2 linked regions of the Struthio camelus genome follow. The protein of the gene in region 1 purifies or fractionates together with the protein of each later gene. This does not show direct contact. Links are inferred from orthologs where the notes say so. Each region holds a gene or a part of one and is shown on either strand. Other genes may lie near its edges.

Region 1 (7,391 bases):
TCAAATAAAAACCTGTAAAGAGCAAATCTTTTTCAAAGAGCAAGCATTCGGCAAGAGTAGACCAAGAAGACCTCAAGTAAATATTTAGCAGGTCTCCACTCTAGATAAGAAAGACCCCGCCCTGTTTAATTCAAAAATCACATGAGTTGTAGATTCACCTTCACTTGGTCCTTCTTGGAAGAGAAAATAAAACCCAGACTAAAATTAGGCCTCTTCAGTTTTGCTGCAGTTCCCCCAGAAAGGAGGGTAGGGTCCCGGTGTGCCAGGCGGCTCCGAGGCGGAGGAGCGAGCAGGCTGGTGTGCGGGTGCCCCACCCTGCTGCCCCAGCGCTGCAAGCTGCCACCTCCTCCTCCTCGCAAAGGCAAAGCCTGCCCACCAGCAAAGCAGCTAAAAGGCAGGCTCCCATCCGATGAGCTCCTGCGATGCGGCTGACGTGCTCCCAGTAACACTGGCTAGCCTTTTAGAGGAAAAGGCCATCAACTGCATCATTAATGAAGTGGTGCGGCTGTGAGAAATTAGCTCCGGGAGAGTTAGCGTGGATTGTATTAGTCTGATTAAATAAAAATAATACATTTCTAATGCTTCCCAATGCGTTTAATGTTCTGCTTCTGATTATTCATCACTGCAGTGAACAGGTCTGTAGCACTTTAAAAGCTCCAGAAGCCTTCCTATGCCAGCAGTACCATAAGGAATAAACTTACAATTGCTCTTTACTCTAATGCGGGTTTCTTGGTCTCTCTTTTCCCATTATTGATATGCAGGTTTCATCCTCACATTAGAGCTGAAAGTTTCCAGTCCAAGGACACCAGCGTGACAGTATGCGTATGTGTGTGTATTATTACAAATGCACACACAGACACATAGGTGCAGCAAAACCAATGAATTTAACTAGATAATTGATATGCCAAGATGACGTTGACCTTTTAATGCTCCAAGAAAAGACTATCGTCCATATCTTTAGAGAAAAAGCCTATACTCCATCACATTTGACCAAGATTTACTAGACAAAAAGTAACATATATTGCTTTTATCCTCATTTTTTGCAGATAAAACCTACAATTTTACTTGTTTGTCTTTTTAAAACAAATTTCTCAGCTTACTACTGATGTAGGAGAAGGCTGGCAATATTATATGTAAAATGGAAAAAAGTAATTTAGATTGCACGCTATAAAAAGACATACATGTGAGACACACCTAACCTAGAGACCATCTTTGACAAGAAGACCTCTGACTTATAATCATTTTGATTGAAAAGACTTCAAGTGACACACGCACTTTTTCTTCTGCTTACAAGTGACGTGCATGTTGAGTTAAGGAAGTATGTTCGCTCTGCCTCAAATACAAGCATGCATTGGAAGCTACAATTTAAAGCAAAAATAATCTTTCAGAATGTTTTCTTCCTCCCCTCAAAAACAGTTACAGGAAAAACAAATTTCAGTGAACAGCAAAAACAGATTTGGTATATCTTACTACTTCTATTGATTATGGAAACGTGAGTTAGCATATATATGATAAAGTTTTAGGTCTTTGAATGGAAAAAAAAAAACCCCGCAAACCCCTCTCTCCTTCCTCCAAATAAAACTGAGCTACAGCAGAGCAATTATTAGAACGTGATTAGCAAAAGCTTTGACGGCCACACCCTTTTTTTTTTTTTTTCTTTTAAGACCTGTGAAAATACACACAAGTTTTCACGCTACACTACATAAACCCGCGAGGATGCATAGCGTCGGAGTCCCACGCTACGCGTGGCGACCGAGGAGCAGGCAGAGAGCACAACCCAAACTTCGGCACACCTGCACGCCTTTGCCCCGGGGTAAGTCGCGCTCAGGTCCACGCCACGCACACAAGCCACTTGCCCGGCGTCGGGATAGACAGGACCTGGTGTTTTGGAGACCCCGAGGCGAGCGGCCGGGCCGCGCCGCCACTGCAGAGTGCGGGGCTGTGATTGCCGATAACCACACCCGCCGCATTGCAGAAGCCACGGCCCGGGGGGGGGGGGGAAGAGGGAAAACAGCCCCCCCCGCCACCGCCGGGCTCGCCTCCCAGGCCGGCAGAGCAAGGAGAAAACCGCGGCGGGGGTCCCCGCCGCCTCCCCCACCCCCTCCCCCGTGCCCCATCGCAGGGGGCCCGGCGCAGGCAGCACCCCCCGCCCAGGTGAGCCCGGCAGCGGGGACTGGGGCCGGCCCCCGGCACCCCGAGCCAGCCCCCACCCCCCCCCCCACCGCACCGCCGGGGCCTCTGCTGCCCGCACAAGTTTCCCATAGAAATGCATATAGCTACATTAGAAAAAAAACAACCCCCCCCCCAAAAAAAAACCCAAACCCAACCTCACAGCACCCGCTCTCCCACAGACGCCGCGTGTGCCGCCGTCCTTCCTCCTGCCCGGCGCCGAGCCGCGCTCCCCCCGCGGAGTGGCAGGAAGCGCCCTCCGCGCCCGCGGACACGGCGCGCAGCCCGACCGCAGCAGCGCCGCCGCGGGCACCGCTCGGTACCGTCTCCCGCCGACCCCAGGAGCATGGGCATCCCGGCTTCATCCTCTCCCCCCCCCCACCCCCCCGGCCCCCGCAGCGGCTAACTTAAAAATGGCTCCTGTTAAAGAGATTTACATACATAAAACAGATAAATATATATGCATTATATATATGTATATATTAAAAAAAAAAAGTGGAAGGGGGGGGGAGATGCAATCTGCAAGCGCCCCCCAGCCCTTGAGGACTATCCCCGCTCCCTCCTGCGGGGAGGACACGGCGCCCGCTGCGCCGGAGCGGCGGGAAGGTACCTTGGCGGCGGCGGCGGGGAGCGGAGCGGAGCGGAGCGGGCGGGAGCGCGGGCTGCTCCCGGCGGCGGCGGCGGCGGCCACGCGTCAGCAGCGGCAGCGCAGCCCGGCTCTGCCCAGAGCGAGCCTCCGCCGCTCCCCAGCAAATCAGGGCGGGGGAGACTCCTCCAGCGAGAGGCAGGGAGGGAGGGGAAAAAAAGTAGGGGGGGGAAGGAGGGGAGGGGAAAAAAAAAAAAAGCCCACACCGCGGCAAATAGCAAAAGCTGGATGGTGGCTTCTGGAGCAAGGCCCCCCGGCTGAGCAGGGGCAGCAGTGATGCTCCCCAGATACACCAGCTGGGAGCAGCCCCCTCCGGCCACGCATCCCCAGCAGGACCCGGATCCGCACCTGCGTCCAGAGGGATCTGGCCGGTTTTGGGCTCAGAAATGAATTCTGCTATATAGAGAGACAAATTTAGCTGCTGCAGTTGCAACCAAACCTAGCAATAGAGAATCTTCCCGGGAACTTAAAACCAGTGGCTGGATGCTGACAAGGTCTGGCTTTGATTTACCTTTGGGATTTTTGTGGTGGGGGGTAGCAGTCTTTCACATTTTAATTTCCAACCACAGAACATGTGCTCTAAAAAATTTGGACCATGTTTCACTTGACATGATCACCAAAACAAAGACAAATACTGGCCCTGTCTCATGCAAGGCTACAGATCCAAAAATGATAACATAAAACTGAAAGTAACTTTTGACTATTGCTAGGCCACCTAATACAATACAGACCACAACATGCCCCATGTCAGGAAGCAACAAGAGCTCCTAGCCCATACAGAAGCAGTTTCGGGGGGGATAATCTTACTTTCACTAATTATGCAGCGTCTCTTAGAGCATGAAACCAAGCTCTCCACTGCCTAACAGTGCACGATAGGAGCAGCTATTCGATCTGAGGCTCTGACGCACTATGGTGCTCAGATGCGCTGCTCGTTAGCCTATTTGTGGGACCAGAAGCAGATGAACTTGTTCAAGAGGTGGCATTTGCAGCGTGATGGGTAACGATGGCTGGTGAAGGGAGAACCAAGCACCGAAAGGCTCTTATGCTGGGCCTTCAAGCTGCGGCAACAGAGTGGATGAATTAGGCTTACTCCCTCTTTAGACAGTATATTTTGAGAGCTCCCAAAAATAATAGATCCAAATTTTACTCAGGCCTCTGATATGAATCATGACAGGGAAAAAATACTCCCTTTAATTAGCAGCATCTCTGGGAGATTTAAGAAGAGAAAGTGGTCTTGACAGTAGGCGGCGGACATACCATTTCTCAGAACCGGCAAAACTGCGCTGCTCTGTGCTTAATGCAGAAATATAACAAGTCTCTTCAGTTCATATGCAGAGCTTCCATTTAGCAGTTCTGGCACACTGTAACATGCATAATAGAGAGACTTCAAAAGGAAAATGTGTGCCATCTACTAAGAGAGGGCATACCTCTAGTCATGCAGTTTAAATAAGACGACTTGTATACTATTCTCAGCTAGGAACTCTGGAAGTCATCATGAATCACAAGGGAATGTACTTGACAGCTAAGACATACATTGGAGTTAACAAGGTTTGATTAAAAAAAAAAAAAGACTGAGTTGGTTTGAATCAAATCGAGTCTCAAAAGCAAGGAGACGGGAGACCTAAGAAGTATCCTTATTGGAAAGCAAAGTAAGATTTACTAGTTTAACCTTTTGCGGCTATTGTACTTTCTATTTTAAAAGAAGGTGCTGGACACTGCTTTTAAAGCAGAGATATGCCACTGGAGTATTAGTGCATCACAGCAACATATGTTGTCCTTGGGTAGTACCACAAGGGGGTTTGCCCCACAATTACAATAGACGCGGGGATCCCTTTTGTGGATATACTGCATGTATAATAGCATCTTTCGTTCGAGGATCCAGAAGGCTTTAATGCACATTGATTTAACCTCAAAACATCAAGTGACATTAACAGGCTGTTCTTATGAGCAGGAAACCTTTGCAAGAGATACTAGGTAGCTGGTACCTTTGGGTTACAGATGGGGGCCTGTATTTCAGATTTCTGAAACACAGCAGCGCCGACAGTAAAGTTTTTCTTTTTTGAATAATAATACTTTTTAATTCTGAAGGGAGTTAGCTGGCCAGTTGAATCTGCATTTTTAAATTATTATTTAAAAATATATATTCTTCCAGTAATTTTTATCAAGCCCTACTCCATACTGTTCCCATACAGGTACGAAATAGGAATAATTTCCCTGAATTCACTGGAGATATACCAGTGTTAATTTACCTGAACGGAAGCTCAGATCACCACACACACTAGCCAATGCTAAGAAAAGACGCTGATCTTCGGCCTTGCTATGCGGTAGTCGTTTTAGTTTTGCTCTTTGCTTGCATTTATGTGGGCTGTGCTTCAGGCTTGGCTATCAGGAGTGAAGGAGTTTAATTAATGGCTCCATTCCAGCATCTCTGCATCTCAGCTCCCACGATACGATGTTCAGTCCAGCCCAGGGCACCTCTTCCTCACCATCGGGGAACGCCCTGGCCATGACAAAACACAGCTCCTGCTCTGTACTATGGAAAAGACTGGCAGTGACTCCCTCCATAGTTTGTTTTTTAAGTGACACATTTAGTTTACTTAAGAACAGCATGAACTGGGCAGGGGTAAGAGATGACACAGGCTTGCAGCTTGTGTCAGTTGACTTGAAGGCACAGCCTTTGAACCCTTCATAACCTGCTGCTCCAGGTGCAAGCTCCCTGTGTGCCACTACCCGGCTATCACCCCCTCCTCACCTGAGTGACTGCAAAAGACTTCTCCTAGTTTGTTCCTGCCGGGCCCTCCCCTTTCCCCTTCCATAGCTCCGCGTTGCCCTTTCTCCATCCCCATTCAGCCCTCTTTTCCCTCCTCCTTCCTTTAGCAGCACACCTCCCAGGCTAGGGGCCTCTCTACCCTCTATTTCTCCTTTGCCCTTATGTCACAAATTTTCTTCACCTCTATGCCATATATCTTCCTTGCACTTTTTCCCAGACCAGGATCCTCCAATTTCTTATTGATCCTCCAATTTCTTATCTATGCAAGATGCTAGATGCACATCTGATTGCTTCCACGCTGGGCTGGAAGACAAGCTGTTCTCAGCACCCCGTCCTTTTGGGAGGATGGCACCCAGCTACCATGATGCTGGGAGAGCTGATGCATGCTGACAACCCAACTGTTTCAACAATAGTGAGAGTCACGCAGGAGATCAGTACTAAGCTAGGAAAAACAGGTGGCAAGCTCTGCCCTCCGCTCCCTTTTCCATCCATCTCTTTGAATTTTCCCAATTTCCCTGCATCAGTGAGCACATACAACTTTCTCGGGAAAGTCCTGCAAGGCGAGGGGAAAAAAAAAAAAAAGAGTTCCTTGCATGAAAAGTCAGGGGGAAAAAGGCAAACAGAGCCTCTGACAAGACACAGGTAAATTACAGGTGGGGAGGGAAAAGGCACACACACATGGGTATCTAATTATCCCATGGGATATCAGTTAGAGGAGTGCAGCCGCAAGGAGAACAGGTCTGCCCACAGCCTTTGGCTGTGACAAGGGCTCTCTTTATGGGAGAGGGAAATAGGGAGCCACATGGTCTCTGCCAGGAAAGGATGAATAGGCAACCCTGGAAGAGAAGGGACAAGGATTATCGACCAGCCCCGGGAACTGCTGCCTAAAACATTCTTGTGATTCCCTAATTGATTGGACATGGCATTCAAAATAGCACATTACAGAGAAGCAAGACACAAAAATGCTATCAAACTCAGCAAAAGGCCTTCTAAAGCTTAGCCAACAATGAATTAGTTGGGTACAGCACTTTGAAAAATGGGAAGCACTGTAAAAGTAGTAGTATTATTAGAGCAGTATTAGGAAGATATTTCTCAGCAGACACGAGCTTGGCATTGTATGTCTAGACGGGTAGATGGTTTTGGAGTCGCACTGATTTTTTTTTTTTATTACTGCATCCACTTCCAATTTAATAAAAGCAAACTGATCTGTTCATGACTCATGCAGCTTAGCTTTCTGCATAGCAATGAAACAAAGTTCTCATAATTAAGAGTAATCACTGTGAGACAGCACATGAAGGTAAGATTTAGAAATCAGATCAACCCTTTTTCTGTCTGTCTTCACTTCAAATGTAATGCCTACAGACCTCTAATTGGCCAATATTACCATTGTAATAAACTCTAAGGTGAGATATGACTCTTCCTTTAGTGCAACTCCAGTAACACAGTAGTTCACATTTATTTTCGACACAGGTTTATTGACCTCAGCGCTGGGATTTATTTGGTCTGTTGTTTGAAATAAGTCCTTTTCTGCCAGCCAAAGCCAAACCCACCCCACTGCTGAAAGAACAATCAGTAAATTTGGCCCTAGCCAAAATGAAACTGCAGCTGAAATCCTGAAATATGGAAGATTTACCACAATTAATTCAGCATTGCCCTTCGCCACTTTTATACCCATAATACTCTCAGTCAGAAAGTAGCTAAGTGGATTACTATGTGACGACCTGCTACTGCATCTCTTCAGCCCCTTTCATGAATGAAAGATAACAAAAATCTGAAGGTGCTTTAGGATTTACCTGAGGCTGTGTC
Region 2 (7,096 bases), on another chromosome or scaffold:
GGCAGACTCCTGCCACCAAGCGTTTATGTGACTGCTCAGCAAACCCCACCCAGACACAGGGCTAGTTATTTTTCGAACTGATCTAGCAAAAAAGGCCTCAGCTCAACCAGTTCCCCAATCCGGTTTACTCTGCAGCTTCAGAAGTCCTCCTGCAGGCACAAGGAGGACAGCAGAACTGCTTCGTTCAGCAGCCACACCACCAATGTGTTAATGCCACCACCGCCTTAGCAACTAGTCCAAGGAATTTCCTGTGTAAAGCGTGCTACTTTGGCGCAGATAGCAAAGAACCTGAAAAAGCTAAAGAACCAGAAACGTGGTGGACATCTGCTTGCCAGTGAACTACCACAGAATCACAGAACAGTTGAGGTTGGAAGGGATATCTGGAGATCATCTAGTCCAAGCCCCCTGCTCCACCAGGGTCACCTATAGCACGTTGTCCAGCATCGCATCCGGGCGGGTTTTGCATATCTCCAGCGAAGGAGACTCCACTACCTCTCTGGGCAACCTGTTCCAGTGCTCTGTCACCCTCACAGTGAAGAGGTTTTGCTTCATGTTCAGATGGACCTTCCTGTGTTTCAGTTTATGCCCGTTGCTTCTTGCCCTGTCACTGGGCACCACGGAGAAGAGGCTGGCCCCATCCTCTCAACACCCTCCCTTCACATACTTCTACACATTTATGAGATCGCCTCTCAATCTTCTCTTCTCCAGGCTGAACAGGCCCAGATCCCTCAGCCTTTCCTCAGAGCAGAGATGCTCCAGGCCCTTCATCATCTGTGTAGCCCTCCGCTGGACTCTCTCCAGGAGCTCCATGTCTCTCTTGTACTGGGGAGCCCAGAACTGGACCCAGTACTCCAGGTGAGGCCTCCCCAGGGCTGAGGAGAGGGGCAGGATCACCTCCCTCCACCTGCGGGCAACACTCTGCCTAATGCACCCCAGGATCCCACTGGTCTTCTTGGCCACAAGGGCGCATTGCTGCCTCATGGTCACCTTGTTGTCCACCAGGACTCCCAGGCCCTTCTCGGCAGAGCTGCTTTCCAGCAGATCAGCCCCCAGCCTGTCCTGCTGCCTGGGGTTATTCCTCCCCAGGGACAGGACCCTGCTCTTGCCTCCGCTGAACTTTGAGGAGGTTCCTCTCCGCCCAGCTCTCCAGCCTGTCCACGTCCCTCTGAATGGCAGCACAGTCTTCTGGTGTGTTAGCCTCTCCTCCCACTTTGGGATCATCAGCAAACTTATGCAGAGGGTGCACTCTGTCCCTTCCTCCAGGTCACTGATGAGTATGTTGAACAAGACTGGACCCAGGACTGACCCCTGGGGGACACCACTGGGCTACAGGCCTCCAACTAGACTCCGCAACACTGACCACAACCCTCTGAGCTCGGCCATCCAGCTAATTTCTTATCCACCTCACTGTCCACTCATCCAACCCACACTTCCTGAGCTTACCTACGAGGATGTGATGGGAGACAGTGTCAAAAGCCTTGCTGGCACACAAGGGGGAAGACATGATGATTACGGAGCCTGGTCCTCTCCTGCTGCAAGAACCCACAGCATAATCCTGCTGCCGACTTTATCAAGCTTCATCTCAAAAGCAGCAAAGGTTTTGGATCCGTCTCCAGACTAACCCACTCAAAGCTTCCTGGAAAATCCCCGGCAAAGACAAGGATCTTGCACATACCTGCCTCGCAATCCCACCTACGCCGAGGGAGAAGCGCAAGGCGCTCGCAGGTCTGGCGCAGGTCTGGTCCCCCTGCCCGGCCGTGGGAGGGGGAGAGGCGCCAGATCACGGTCCCTCCGGCCACCTCCGTGTCCTGCAGCGTCACGGTCCCACACAGTCGTCCCCAAAGGGTCACCACCCCCCTAAAGCATCCTGTCCCCCCACCCCAGGTCACTGTGTCCCTCCCAGGTTCCCTGCTCCCCACAGCGGCCCCATACCCCCCCCCACCTCGCTGTCCCTCTGCTCCCCCCCCTCCAGGTCCCCGTTCCCCCCCCCACCTCGCTATCCCTCTGCTCCCCCCCCTCCAAGTCCCCCTTCCCCCCCCACCTCGCTGTCCCTCTGCTCCCCCCCCCAGGTCCCCCTCCCCCCCCCACCTCACTGTCCCTCTGCTCCCCCCCTCCAGGTCCCCCTTCCCCCCCCCACCTCACTGTCCCTCTGCTCCCCCCCCTCCAGGTCCCCCCCTTCCCCCCCCCACCTCGCTGTCCCTCTGCTCCCCCCCCCTCCAGGTCCCCCTTCCCCCCCCCACCTCGCTGTCCCTCTGCTCCCCCCCCTCCAGGTCCCCCCCTTCCCCCCCCCACCTCGCTGTCCCTCTGCTCCCCCCCCTCCAGGTCCCCCTTCCCCCCCCCACCTCGCTGTCCCTCTGCTCCCCCCCCTCCACGTCCCCCTTCCCCCCCCACCTCGCTGTCCCTCTGCTCCCCCCCCCTCCACATCCCCCTTCCCCCCCCACCTCGCTGTCCCTCTGCTCCCCCCCCCCCGGTCCCCATTCCCCCCCCCACCTCGCTGTCCCTCTGCTCCCCCCCCCCCGGTCCCCCTTCCCCCCCCACCTCGCTGTCCCTCTGCTCCCCCCCCCCAGGTCCCCCTTCCCCCCCCACCTCGCTGTCCCTCTGCTCCCCCCCCCCCAGGTCCCCCTTCCCCCCCCACCTCGCTGTCCCTCTGCTCCCCCCCCCCCAGGTCCCCCTTCCCCCCCCACCTCGCTGTCCCTCTGCTCCCCCCCCCCCAGGTCCCCCTTCCCCCCCCCACCTCGCTGTCCCTCTGCTCCCCCCCCTCCACGTCCCCCTTCCCCCCCCCACCTCGCTGTCCCTCTGCTCCCCCCCCTCCACGTCCCCCTTCCCCCCCCCACCTCGCTGTCCCTCTGCTCCCCCCCTCCAGGTCCCCCTTCCCCCCCCAGGCCCTAGGCCCCCCCCTCAGGCCCTACCGTATTCACTGTAGCCGCGGGGCCCCCGCCGGAACCCCCCGCCCCGCGGCGCAAAGCAGCCGACGCGGCCTCCTGCCCGATTCAAATGGCTGCGCCGGCCCCCTGCCCCCTGCCTATTGGCTGCCGACCAGGATACGTCAGCGTGGCCTTACGTCACGTGAGGTTGCGAGGCGGCGGAGGGCGGGGAACTACCAATCCCAGCGGGGCGAGCGCTCGTCCCGGCGTGCCCCGCGCGGGGCGGGGCGGGGCGAGGGGCTGGTTGCCGTGGCGACGGCGGCGCGCGGGGGGTGGTGAGCGGGGCGCCCGTGGGGCCGCGCGGGCGGTTAGGGGACACGCGTGGGGCCCTGTGGGGAGGAGCGGGGTGTGGGGCGTTGTACAGGAGGAGGGGGGAGATGTCTGATGCCCCACGCGGGGAAGGACGCACCTAGGATCCTGTGTGGGTAAGGGATACGCGTGGGAGCCAGGGCACTGGTGACGGGAGACATGCGAGTGGCCCCACGCGCGGAGAATGGGGCTCGAGTGGGGCTGTGTGGGGACGAGAACACATATGGGGACGTGGGGGGGGTGTCTGGCGCAGGAGGATGTGGGGAGGCAGGCATGGGGACGTGTGGGGAGGTGGGCCGGGGCAGGGGGACGCGAGTGGGTGCGGGTGGGAGCAGAGGGACAGGCATGGGGATGCCTGTGGGGGCAGGAGGACATGGGCGGCGGCTGGGGGACTCGCCGTGGGGCTGCGTGTGGGAGCAGGACGATACCCACGGGCACGTGCGTGTGGGGCAGGAGGACACGCGTGGGCACTCCCGTGGGGACAGGCGGATGCCCATGGGGATGCATGTGAGGACATATGGGGGCAGGAGGACATGTGTGGGGATGCCCCGTGGGGGGTTGGTGCATGGCCTTGAGGATGCCCGTGGGGGGCCAGGGACACGTGTGAGGACACATGGGGGCAGGGGGACACGTGTGGGGACACGCGTGGGGTGTGGGGACACCCATGAGGGTGTGCGCGGGGGCTGGGGACACATGTGGGGACACACTGGGGCAGGAGGACACATGTGGAGATACCCGTGGGGGGCAGGAGCACAGCTGTGGAGATGTGCACGGGGGCTGGTGACACGTGTGAGGACACATGGGGGCAGGGGGACACGCGTGGGGACACCCGTGGGGGGTGGGGACACCCATGAGGGTGTGCACGGGGGCTGGGGACACATGTGGGGACACACTGGGGCAGGAGGACACATGTGGGGGTTTGTGCGGGGGCCAGAGACACCTATGGGGACACATGGGGGCAGGAAGACGTGTGAGGGGATGCCCGTGGGGGGCAGGAGCACTGCTGTGGGGATGTGCACAGGGGCTGGGGACATATGGGGACATATGGGGGCAGGAGGACATGTGTGGGGACACCCGTGAGGGGTGAGGATGCCCATGGGGGTGTGCGCGAGGGCCAGGGACACGTGTGGGGACACATGAGGGCAGGAGGACACGCGTGGGGACGCCCGAGGGGGTGTGCATGGGGGCCGGGGACACGTGGGGACACGTGGGGGCAGGAGGACACGCGTGGGGATGCCCGTGTGGGTGTGCGTAGGGACACATGGGGGCAGGAGGACACGCGTGGGGGCAGGAGGACACGCGTGGGGACGCCCGTGGGGGTGTGCGTAGGGACACATGGGGGCAGGAGGACACGCGTGGGGGCAGGAGGACACGCGTGGGGACGCCCGTGGGGGTGTGCGTAGGGACACATGGGGGCAGGAGGACACGCGTGGGGACGCCCGTGGGGGTGTGCGTAGGGACACATGGGGGCAGGAGGACACGCGTGGGGGCAGGAGGACACGCGTGGGGACGCCCGTGGGGGTGTGCGTAGGGACACATGGGGGCAGGAGGACACGCGTGGGGACGCCCGTGGGGGTGTGCGTAGGGACACATGGGGGCAGGAGGACACGCGTGGGGACGCCCGTGGGGGTGTGCGTAGGGACACATGGGGGCAGGAGGACACACGTGGGGGCAGGAGGACACGCGTGGGGACGCCCGTGGGGGTGTGCGTAGGAACACATGGGGGCAGGAGGACACGCGTGGGGGCAGGAGGACACGCGTGGGGACGCCCGTGGGGGTGTGCGTAGGAACACATGGGGGCAGGAGGACACGCGTGGGGGCAGGAGGACACGCGTGGGGACGCCCGTGGGGGTGTGCGTAGGAACACATGGGGGCAGGAGGACACGCGTGGGGACGCCCGTGGGGGTGTGCGTAGGGACACATGGGGGCAGGAGGACACGCGTGGGGACGCCCGTGGGGGTGTGCGTAGGGACACATGGGGGCAGGAGGACACGCGTGGGGGCAGGAGGACACGCATGGGGACGCCCGTGGGGGTGTGCGTAGGGACACATGGGGGCAGGAGGACACGCGTGGGGGCAGGAGGACACGCGTGGGGACGCCCGTGGGGGTGTGCGTAGGGACACATGGGGGCAGGAGGACACGCGTGGGGGCAGGAGGACACGCGTGGGGACGCCCGTGGGGGTGTGCGTAGGAACACATGGGGGCAGGAGGACACGCGTGGGGACGCCCGTGGGGGTGTGCGTAGGGACACATGGGGGCAGGAGGACACGCGTGGGGGCAGGAGGACACGCGTGGGGACGCCCGTGGGGGTGTGCGTAGGGACACATGGGGGCAGGAGGACACGCGTGGGGACGCCCGTGGGGGTGTGCGTAGGGACACATGGGGGCAGGAGGACACGCGTGGGGGCAGGAGGACACGCGTGGGGACGCCCGTGGGGGTGTGCGTAGGGACACATGGGGGCAGGAGGACACGCGTGGGGGCAGGAGGACACGCGTGGGGACGCCCGTGGGGGCCAGGAGGACGCCCGTGGCAGCCAGACACATGCGTGGGGACGCCCGCGGTGTGTGTGTGTGGAGGGGGGGGGCTGGGGACACGGGTGGGGACATCCGCGGGGGCAGGAGGACAGGCGTGGGGTCGGGGCGGGGGACAGCACCCCGACAAGCGCCGCCCCGCGCAGGGGGGCCGCCTCCGCCGCCGGCCTCGGCCCCATGGCGCGGTGCCCGGCCCTGGCGCCCCCCCTCGACTTCTCCTTCCGCGGCGCCACCTCCATCCCAGGTGGGACCCCGGGGGCAGAAAAGGGGTGGTGGTGGGGGGGGGGGGGAGCCCCCCGGCGGGCACCTCTCACCCCCCCCCCCACCCCGCGCGCCCAGAGCTGCTGGCGCAGGAGCCGCGGGCCGGGGCGGCGGGGCGGGCGGCGGGGCGCTCGGCCGGCGGCCGCCTGCTTGCCGGCGCCCTGCGCCTCAACAACAACGCGCTGGGCAGCCTGGCCGGCCTGGCGCCCGCCCTCGAGCGGCTCCTCGAGGCCCCCGAGCGGCTCTCCTGGCTCGACCTCTCCTTCAACGCGCTGCCCACCATCGACCCGGTAGGGCGCTGGGGTTTGGGGGGGGGGTAGGGGGGGCTCCCCGCGCCTCGGGGCGGCTGCTCACGGCCCGGCGGGCGCCCGCAGGTGCTGACCGCCTACCGCCACCTGCGCAGCCTCCACCTGCACGCCAACGGCATCCGCAGCCTGGCCGAGGTGGACAAGCTGGCCGCCCTGCCGCGCCTGCGCCGCCTCACCCTGCACGGCAACCCCGTCGAGGAGCAGCCGGGCTACAGGTATGCTGCTCGCCCCCCCCCGCCTCTCCCCTGCCCCACCTCCCTTTTTTGGGGGGGGGGGGGGGTCTCAGCGCCTGTCCCCCCCCCCCCGACCGCCGCCTCCGCGCCCCGGCAGGAGCTACGTCATCTCCGTGCTGCCCCAGCTCAAGTCCTTCGACTTCAGCGGCGTCACCAAGCAGGACCGCTCCACCGCCGCCGCCTGGAAGCGCATGCAGGCCAAGCCCAAGGCGGCCGGGAAGGCGGCGGCGGCGGGGGGCAGCTCCCGAGCTGGAGCCCCCCCCCCCCAGCCCCGCGCACCCACCGGGGCGGCTGCTGCTGCTGCTGCTGGCAGGGCCGCGAAGCAGGAGGCTGGCGGGGAGCGGCTCGGCCTCGGGCGCCCTTCCGGGGCTGGCTTCGCCCCCGGACCCCGCGCCGGCCCTCCTCCCGCTCCCTCCCCTTCCTCATAAATAAAGCCCCCCCTCACCCCGGCGGCACCGCCCGGGGTTAAGGAAACAACGCCTGCGAACCGGACTCGTCCTGCAGCATCGTCCGCGAGGCGCTTTGGGGCA

What was found.
Region 2: the proteins of EPB41L3 (region 1) and NUMA1 purify together in Homo sapiens (affinity purification with mass spectrometry; 3 studies listed by BioGRID and IntAct, with this or other methods). This does not show direct contact. The link is inferred for Struthio camelus from reciprocal best matches to the Homo sapiens genes EPB41L3 and NUMA1.

What each region holds. Positions count from the first base shown.
Region 1 is NC_090943.1:117,998,267-118,005,657, reverse strand, and holds the start of EPB41L3 (band 4.1-like protein 3), read right to left. Parts: upstream 3,008-7,391; 5' UTR 2,780-3,007; intron 2,437-2,779; exon of another isoform or gene 2,328-2,436; intron 1-2,327. UniProt on the Homo sapiens protein: Tumor suppressor that inhibits cell proliferation and promotes apoptosis. Modulates the activity of protein arginine N-methyltransferases, including PRMT3 and PRMT5.
Region 2 is NC_090942.1:224,086,109-224,093,204, reverse strand, and holds the start of NUMA1 (nuclear mitotic apparatus protein 1), read right to left. Parts: upstream 2,995-7,096; 5' UTR 2,910-2,994; intron 1,810-2,909; exon of another isoform or gene 1,676-1,809; intron 1-1,675. Other genes in the region: LRRC51 (leucine-rich repeat-containing protein 51), read left to right, coding at 3,309-3,349, 5,911-6,008, 6,104-6,315, 6,400-6,548, 6,664-6,994. UniProt on the Homo sapiens protein: Microtubule (MT)-binding protein that plays a role in the formation and maintenance of the spindle poles and the alignement and the segregation of chromosomes during mitotic cell division.